Elephas maximus indicus: one gene and its partner. The protein of the gene in region 2 purifies or fractionates together with the protein of the main gene of each other region. This does not show direct contact. Links are inferred from orthologs where the notes say so. Each region holds a gene or a part of one and is shown on either strand. Other genes may lie near its edges.

Region 1 (3,744 bases), on a different chromosome or scaffold from region 2:
ATGTTCGTGTGTCTCAGCCTCTTACTGGACCCAAAGGTCGTGAGATTTTATAACGGGTTCCAGCAGAGCTTTGCACACAATTGATGCTCAATGACAACTAAACGCAATTCCTGGAAACCCTGCCTCTAGGGCTCTCATGAACCCTTGTGAATACAGGTAGTCCCGGACTTATGACGTATTAGAGTTACGACAAACTGCACTTACCATCAACAAACTGCACTTACCATTGTCTGTCGTTCTGCTTTTTTTTGCACATATTATTAATGTGTACTACATACAACGTTGCAGCACATAATTTGCTGTTGTTATTCTCAGGTGCACACTTGCAGACATTCAATATTATGATTTACAAGGATACTGATAATAAAAGGCAATAATGATGAAAACTTTTAAAAAAATGAAATATTCGACATACATCGGAACTGACTTACGACAGAGTTGTCAGAACATAACCCCTGTCATAAGTTGGGGACTACCTATACAAGAGCAATGAAACCCTGTGGTTAAGAGTAAGAACTTTTGAGTCAGGGGCCCGAGTTCAAATACTGGTTTGGCCATTTTACTGAGTGAGATTAGTCATATCAAGTGACTCAACTAAGCCTAGGTGCTTTCATTTGTAAAATGGAAATTATAACAGTACCTACCTCACAGGCTGGAGATAAATGTCCACGGAGTCTTAAGCACACAGTACATTCTCAATAAATATCAGCAATTATTTAGAACGTCATTTATTCAGTACCTACCATGCACAGGCCAGGCACAATGCTAGGGGCTTCTCAAACTGTTTTCTCAAATTTGCACAAGAATATTCTTGTCCTTCCCATTTTACAGACAGGGAAACCAAGGCTCTCACAGTTCAGCTTATCCAAGCTCTTGGGAGCCTTGAACACCAGGGCATAAGAGTGAAGGATGGGGTTTGAGGGACTCAGTGGAAGATCATCTAGTCCAGTGGTTCTCATCCTGGGGTGGTTTTGCCCCCATGGGGATTTGGCTATGTCTCGAGGCATTTCTGAGCCTCATAACTGAAAAAGAAGGGAAGGATGTTATTGGCATCTAGTGGGTAGAGGAGACCTGGTGGCACAGTGGTTAAGCACTGGGCTGCTAACCAAAAGGTCGGCGGTTCGAACCCACCAGCCACTCCACCGGAGGAAGATGTGGCAGTCTGCGTCTGTAAAGAATTACAGCCTTGAAAACCCTGTGGGGCAGCTCTACCCTGTCCTATAGGGTCGCTATAAGTCAAAACTGACTCGACGGCAATGGGTTTTTTTTTTGGTGGTTAGTGGGTAGAGGCCAAGAATGCTGCTAAGCATCCTATAATGCACAGGACAGTGTCCCACAAGCAAGAATTATCTGGCCCAAAACGTCAATAGTGCCCTGGTTAAGAAACCCTTCTCTAGTCCCATCATCCTCCCCAGCTTCCCACTTCTTGTAGCATAAGCCATCGGCTCCCACTAGAATACTTTCAGTCAGGGCGACTCTTCCTCCAGGGGCAGTGCAGAAGTTCTTCCTCACCTGTCCTGCACACAGTAGGTACCAGAACCCATTTTAATAAGCCTAGTAGCAGAGGGTACCGGAAAAGGAAGCCAGAGCATCCATGCCCCATTGTTCAAATGCGTGCAGTTTGTGTTTTCAACACACATTTTACAAACCCGAACATCCCACGCCCCATAAACAGCTTTGTTAGAGATGGCGCTCAAAAAATACATTTTCCTGGGACTCCCGTACACACCGAAAGGTTTGCACACTTCAAAAAAGACCCCAGATCGGTCGCTGGCCTCTGACAACGACCACAAAAGAATCTGGAGGATTTCCCGGGGGAGCGAGCTCGGAGGCCGCGGGCGACCTCAGTGCGCAGACCGCGCTCACCCAACTCCCCCGCCTCTGGCTTCACTCTCCCGCCCCCGGATCCCGGGCTCCCAAGGCTGCCGGGCCCCAGGCCCAGCGCTCGGCCCCGGCCGCGGAGCCTGGCCGCCAGGCGCGTGCCCACGCCGTGTACCCCCTCGCCCGCCCCTCGCGGCGGCCGAGGAATCCGGCCCGGGCTCTGTCGCCAGCGCCCACACCGGCCGCCCCCCGCACACCCGCGTCCCGCGCGCGTTCCTTCCCGGCCCGGCGCGGCCTGGGCCTCGGCCGGTGCAGGCCCGCGGACGCCCGGGGCCCGGCCAGGCGAGCTCAGGCCTGCCGCGGCCTACCTCGCGGGGCACCGCGGAAGGCCCCCGCCTCACCTGGGCGCGGGCGGGCAGGCCCGGGGCTTCTCCGGGGCGGGCGGGCGGCGGCGGCGCGGCGCTAACGGCTCCGCTCGGCCTCGGTAGCGGCGGCAGCGGCGGCGGCGACGGCGACGAGGCGGCGGCTCCTCCTCAGCGCGCACGACCCGCTCCGGCCCGCGGCGCGGACACGCCCCCCCGGCGCGTGCACCCATTGGTCAGCTCCAGTCACGGCGCGCTTCCCATTGGCCGGCGCAGCTGTCGCGGCCTCCCAGGCGCGCGGGGAGGCGGAACTTCCGGTCGGCGCCGCCTGCGGAGGGCTCGGCGGCCGGCGGAGACGGGGGCAGTGGAGATGGCCGCGGAGGGGTGAGCTGAGGGTCCAGCCCCGCGAAGACCGGGGCTGGCAGAGAGTGGTGGTGGGTCGAGGAGCGGCGCTCCTTGTCGGGCGTCCATCGTGTGTCCCGCTCCTGTTTACCCCGCTTCCCTGCAAGGTAGGAACGGTCATCGCACCAAAGGGAAAGGGACAGGTCCCGGGTTCGAATCCTGACGCCGCGTTTTCGCGCTACGTGCCGTTGGGCAAGGGCTGACGTCATCTCACCTGGCCTCAGTTTCCTTAGCTGGTGGGGCGAGGAGGCGGGGCCCAGGATGTTGTTAGAGTTCCAGCAGTGTGGGCTGTGAGAGCTAACGGGTTCCCAGAGGCTCCGGCTAACATTCATTCTTTAAGATTTTATTGAGTGCCTAGTATAAGCCAGTCACTGTATGAACTCTCATTAGGCTGACATTCTAGACGATTGCGTCTAGTAGAAATATAAAGGAGCCACAAATGCCAGCCGTTTGTGTAATTTAAATTTTCTAGTAGTAACGGTGGCTCAGTGGTTAATCGCTCGGCTGCTAACTGAAAGGTCAGTGGTTGGAACCCATCAGTTGCACCGTGGAAGAAAGATACGGAAATCTGGTTCCGTAAAGATTTACAGTCTTGGAAATCCTATGGGGCAGTTCTGCTCTGTACTGTAGGGTTGCTGTGAGTTGGAATTGGCTAGAGGGCAGTGGGTTTGGCTTTTGTTTTTCTTATTGGTTTAGTAACCATGTCTGAAAAAGAAAAAGAAACATAGTAATTTTAATAATGTGTTTTCTTTAACCCATTGTGTTGAAAATATTGTTATTTTGATATGTAATCAACATAAGAAATTATGAGGTCTTTTTTTTTCCCACGTTTTCAAAATTTAGTGTGTATTTACATTCACAACACAGCTCAAGTCGGACTGACAACATCTCAAGGGCTCAGCCGCCACATCTTGCTGGTGGCTACCTTTTCGGACCACACAGTGCCAGATGAAGAAACAGAAAAGAAACAAAGAGGGGAAAAGTGGTAAGATAAAAAGTAAATCGGGAAGGGAAATGGGGAATGTCAAGGTTGCAATTTAAAAGAGGGTGGTTGGGAAGGCCTCAGTATGAGAAGATGGCATTTGCAGGAAGACCTGAAAGAGCTGAGGACACTGAACAGATAACTACACTCTTCATTGTTTAGTGCAACACTGTCCAG
Region 2 (3,744 bases):
TGAAATCAAATACCCTTTACTTAATTCTTAACCTAAGCTGAGATCAACATATTTACACAACTACTATAAAGAAACTTTAAAGGTTTTCATTATAAATAATTAACTTTAACTTGGATGCAAAGTTAATTCTCCATAAAAAGTGGTTTAACAGGTAGGTCCCCAGCAGATAGGATTAGGAAAATCTGTTATTTCTGACTGCTTTTCAATTACAGTCATTAATAGAAAAATTATTGTTTTCATATGCAAAGAAACAAACCAATATTTTGGACGTGAGTTTGATGGGGAGAAACACTGAATTAAGCACTAATCAAGCTGCTGCTCTTTTTTCTGCTCTATAGTAACACTATAAAAAAAATTTTATTTTTTTTATAGTAACACTGTCTAAACAGAGATGAGAATCCTAACAAAACAAGAAGTATGACTCTGCTAAAAGTAAATTTTGTGACAGACTGGGGCAATCTGGTAAAAGTGGAAATCGTTAATGTTGTGATAGGATGTTTGGGATTTGTTTCAAAATAATCGTTTGGGGGAGGGGTACAATATGAAACAAGGCTGGCCTTGGCTATGAGGTAACAATTGTCAAAGATGAGCGACCAATACACAGGGGTTTTCTACAGTATAGTATTTGGCGTCTGTATGTTTTCCATGATAAAAAGTTAAAAAAAACTTTACATTATTTACTGCAATATTAAAACACCATTTCCCCAGCGTTACTATTAGCGATGTGGGAGTAGAACACAGGCTTTGTGTTGTTTAGTTGTTTGCTCAGGTGTTTTTAAAAAGCCATCGAAGCCAAGATTTTAAACTAGAAACCCTGGTAAGGCCTTGAGTCAGAAAATTCTAAGAAAATGTCAAGAAGAGGGAGGCCACTTTGGATCATGCGTGTTATTATTGAGAACCAAAAAAAAAAAAGGCCCGTTGCCATCAAGTCGATTCCAACTCACTGTGACCCTACAGGACAGAGCAAAACTGCCCCATAGGGTTTCCAAGGAAAGCCTGGTGGACTCAAACTGCCGACCTTTTGGTTAGCAGCTGAACTCTTAACCACTATGCCAGGAGTGCAAACACACTCCTGACTCCTTTGTAAATCTAAACTTCCATGAGTTGCATTACCTTACTGATGGGTATACCTATACAACTAAGTACATAATTACAAAAACTCGGCATGCTTCAATGAAGTCACTGTTCTGAAAATCCCACCTGTCACCAGGGTGATTGAAAAGGCTCCCTCTAGGATCCAATTGTATTTTTAGTGTTAACTTCAACAAGTAGCAATGTCATTTACATTTGGTAAGCACTTTTGATTCCTGAAAGACCCAAATCATCTGAAAACCCAGTTTAACTCACTCCTTCTCCCACCCTCTAAACAATTAAAGCTAAAGGCAGAAGGGAAGAGTGACCTTAAAAACATCCCCACAGCCAGAGAAGGGCAGAACAGACTGAAGCACACATCTTTGCTGGAACAGAAGAAAACTTCCATACAAGCAATACTGCAACACGGAGGTGGGCAAGGGCTTAAAATGAAAGTCAGCCAACGGGAACGGAGGGAATAAAAGCAAAGCTGCAGTGACAAAAAGTTAGAAGTTCGAGATGTAGAGCAAGAAAGGGACAGACAGACATGTTTGTTCATATTTGTACACCATCTTCCCCCTCCAGAACCCGACCCCACAGCAGGTGCTGCAGAAAGGTTTGCTTCTGCCAGCAAGTTTCCCAGAAGTGAGATGACAACAAGAAGCCGGATGATGGCAGAAGAAGCGGACAGGTTGCTCTCAGTGGTGAAAATCCTGCAGTTGGCCACACGGATGAGATGGAAATAACAGCAGCTATCTTTTACAGGCTACCTACTGCAGAGTGTCCCAATTAAACGTAAGCCCCTTTGGGTTAACAACCCAAAACAATGTCCTGGCGCTGGCAGTGGGCACGCTGAGACATTTCCGCTTCCAAGGATCCCAACACGGGTAGGTAGGTCAGTTTCTGCGCCCTCTATCCATTTAATTAAACACCTTACTGATCGCGCGCTGGGTTTTGTGATCGCGCTAATAAATAATGTTGACGCTTTGAGACACTCTGGTAAGTGCTTTACACGCCCCGTTTCACTGAACCTTGAGAACCTTAAGGGGCAGGGGCGGTATCAGCCCCTTCTGCCAGCTGAAGTGACTGGCCCAAGGGGGCAGAGCGGGGTCAGCCCCCGAGTCGCACACCTGGGCCGCCCCTGCGCCGGCTGTGCCACCGGCCGGGCCGGCCGTGCGCGTGGACCTCGGGGCCCGGAGCCGAGACTCGCCCCTCCCCCGCCCCGGGAACAACTCCGGCATCCAGCGCGCGGCCAGGAATGAGGAAAGGCGGTCGGGGCACCTGTTTCTGGCCCCAGCTAGGGGCCGAGAGGGCCGGGCGCCCGGGGGCCAGGCCGCCCGGCGGCGCGAGGCGGGGGCGCAGAACGACCCGCCTCCTAGGAGAAGGCCCGGCCGGCGGGAGCGAGGCCCGGGAGAGGAGGCCGGCGCGCGGCGCCGCCGAGGCCTAGGCCCCACCCGCCGCCCGCCTCCCCGCGGCTGCGGCGCCCGCGCGAGCGCCTTCGGGCCAGGCCCGGCCGCCTCACCTGGCTGTTGCCCTGAGCGCGTCCCCCGGCCGGCGGTCCTGGGCGGCGGCGGCGAAGAGGGGAAGGAGGAAGGAAGAAGGGACAGGAGGAAGGGACGGAGGGAGGGAAGAGGCGGAGTGGCCGTGGAGGGGCGGGCGCCGCCGGGCCGGGGGTCAGGGACCAGGGGAGCCGAGTGAGACGCGGCGGCGACTGCCGGCGCAAACGCTGAGGAGCCGCTGGAGCGCCCGCAGCCTGGCAGGAAGTGACGGGGGAGGGGCCGGCGCCCGCCCCCGGCCCCCGCCCGCCTCCAAGCCCGGCCCCACCCCCACCCGCGCTTGGACCACAAGTTCCGGCGGGCGCTGCGGCGGCGCCGGCGCTCGCAAGGCACGCCGGGAGCCCGAAGGGCTGGGTCCTGCTCTCTGCCCGGGGCGGCCGCGACCCGCCCTGGGCCCCGGGGCATGCTGGGAGTTGTAGTTCTTGCAGGCGCCGGCTGAGTCCGAGGTGGGGCTACTACCTGCTTCCTACTTTTTGCCTGTTTTTCCTTCTTTTAGTCCCTCAGTACCTGCATTCTTCCTTCTGTAAATGTTTACTAAACGGCTACTATGTGTAAGGTACTGCTGCCAGACCTAAGAATAAGTAATGAACAGACAAAAATTCCCGCCCTCGTGGAGCTTACCGTCTACCAAACAAACAAACCTGTTGGGTTTCAGTCCATTCCCACTCATAGTGACCCTATAGGGCAAAGTAGAGCTGCCCATAGAGTTTCCAAAGAGCAGCTGGTGGATTTGAACTGCTGACCTTTTGGTTAGCAGCCAGGCTCTTAACCATTAGCCCCTCTACCCCTTGCCTTGATTCTATTCTGAGTACTGCTCCCTTCTAGTGGGGATAAAACTGAATTAAAAATAAATAAATAAATAAGTTATATGTGACAGACTGACTTGATTTGTAAACGTTCACTTAAAGCTCAATAAAAATTATTAAAAAAAAAAAAAGTAATTTATATCCAAAAAAAACCCCCCCCAAAAAAACTATTGCCATTGAGTTGATTCCAACTCATAGCAACCCTATAGGACAGAGTAGAACTGCCCCATAGGGTTTCAAAGGAGTAGCCGGTGGATTTGAACTGCTGACCTTTTGGTCAGGAGCCAAGCTCTTAACCATTGTGTCACCAG

What was found.
Region 1: the proteins of STAU1 (region 2) and ELAVL1 purify together in Homo sapiens (affinity purification with mass spectrometry; 3 studies listed by BioGRID, with this or other methods). This does not show direct contact. The link is inferred for Elephas maximus indicus from reciprocal best matches to the Homo sapiens genes STAU1 and ELAVL1.

Annotation. Positions count from the first base shown.
Region 1 is NC_064821.1:12,746,680-12,750,423, forward strand, and holds the start of ELAVL1 (ELAV-like protein 1), read right to left. Parts: upstream 2,354-3,744; 5' UTR 2,223-2,353; intron 1-2,222. UniProt on the Homo sapiens protein: RNA-binding protein that binds to the 3'-UTR region of mRNAs and increases their stability.
Region 2 is NC_064843.1:20,399,141-20,402,884, reverse strand, and holds the start of STAU1 (double-stranded RNA-binding protein Staufen homolog 1), read right to left. Parts: upstream 2,845-3,744; 5' UTR 2,594-2,844; intron 1-2,593. UniProt on the Homo sapiens protein: Binds double-stranded RNA (regardless of the sequence) and tubulin.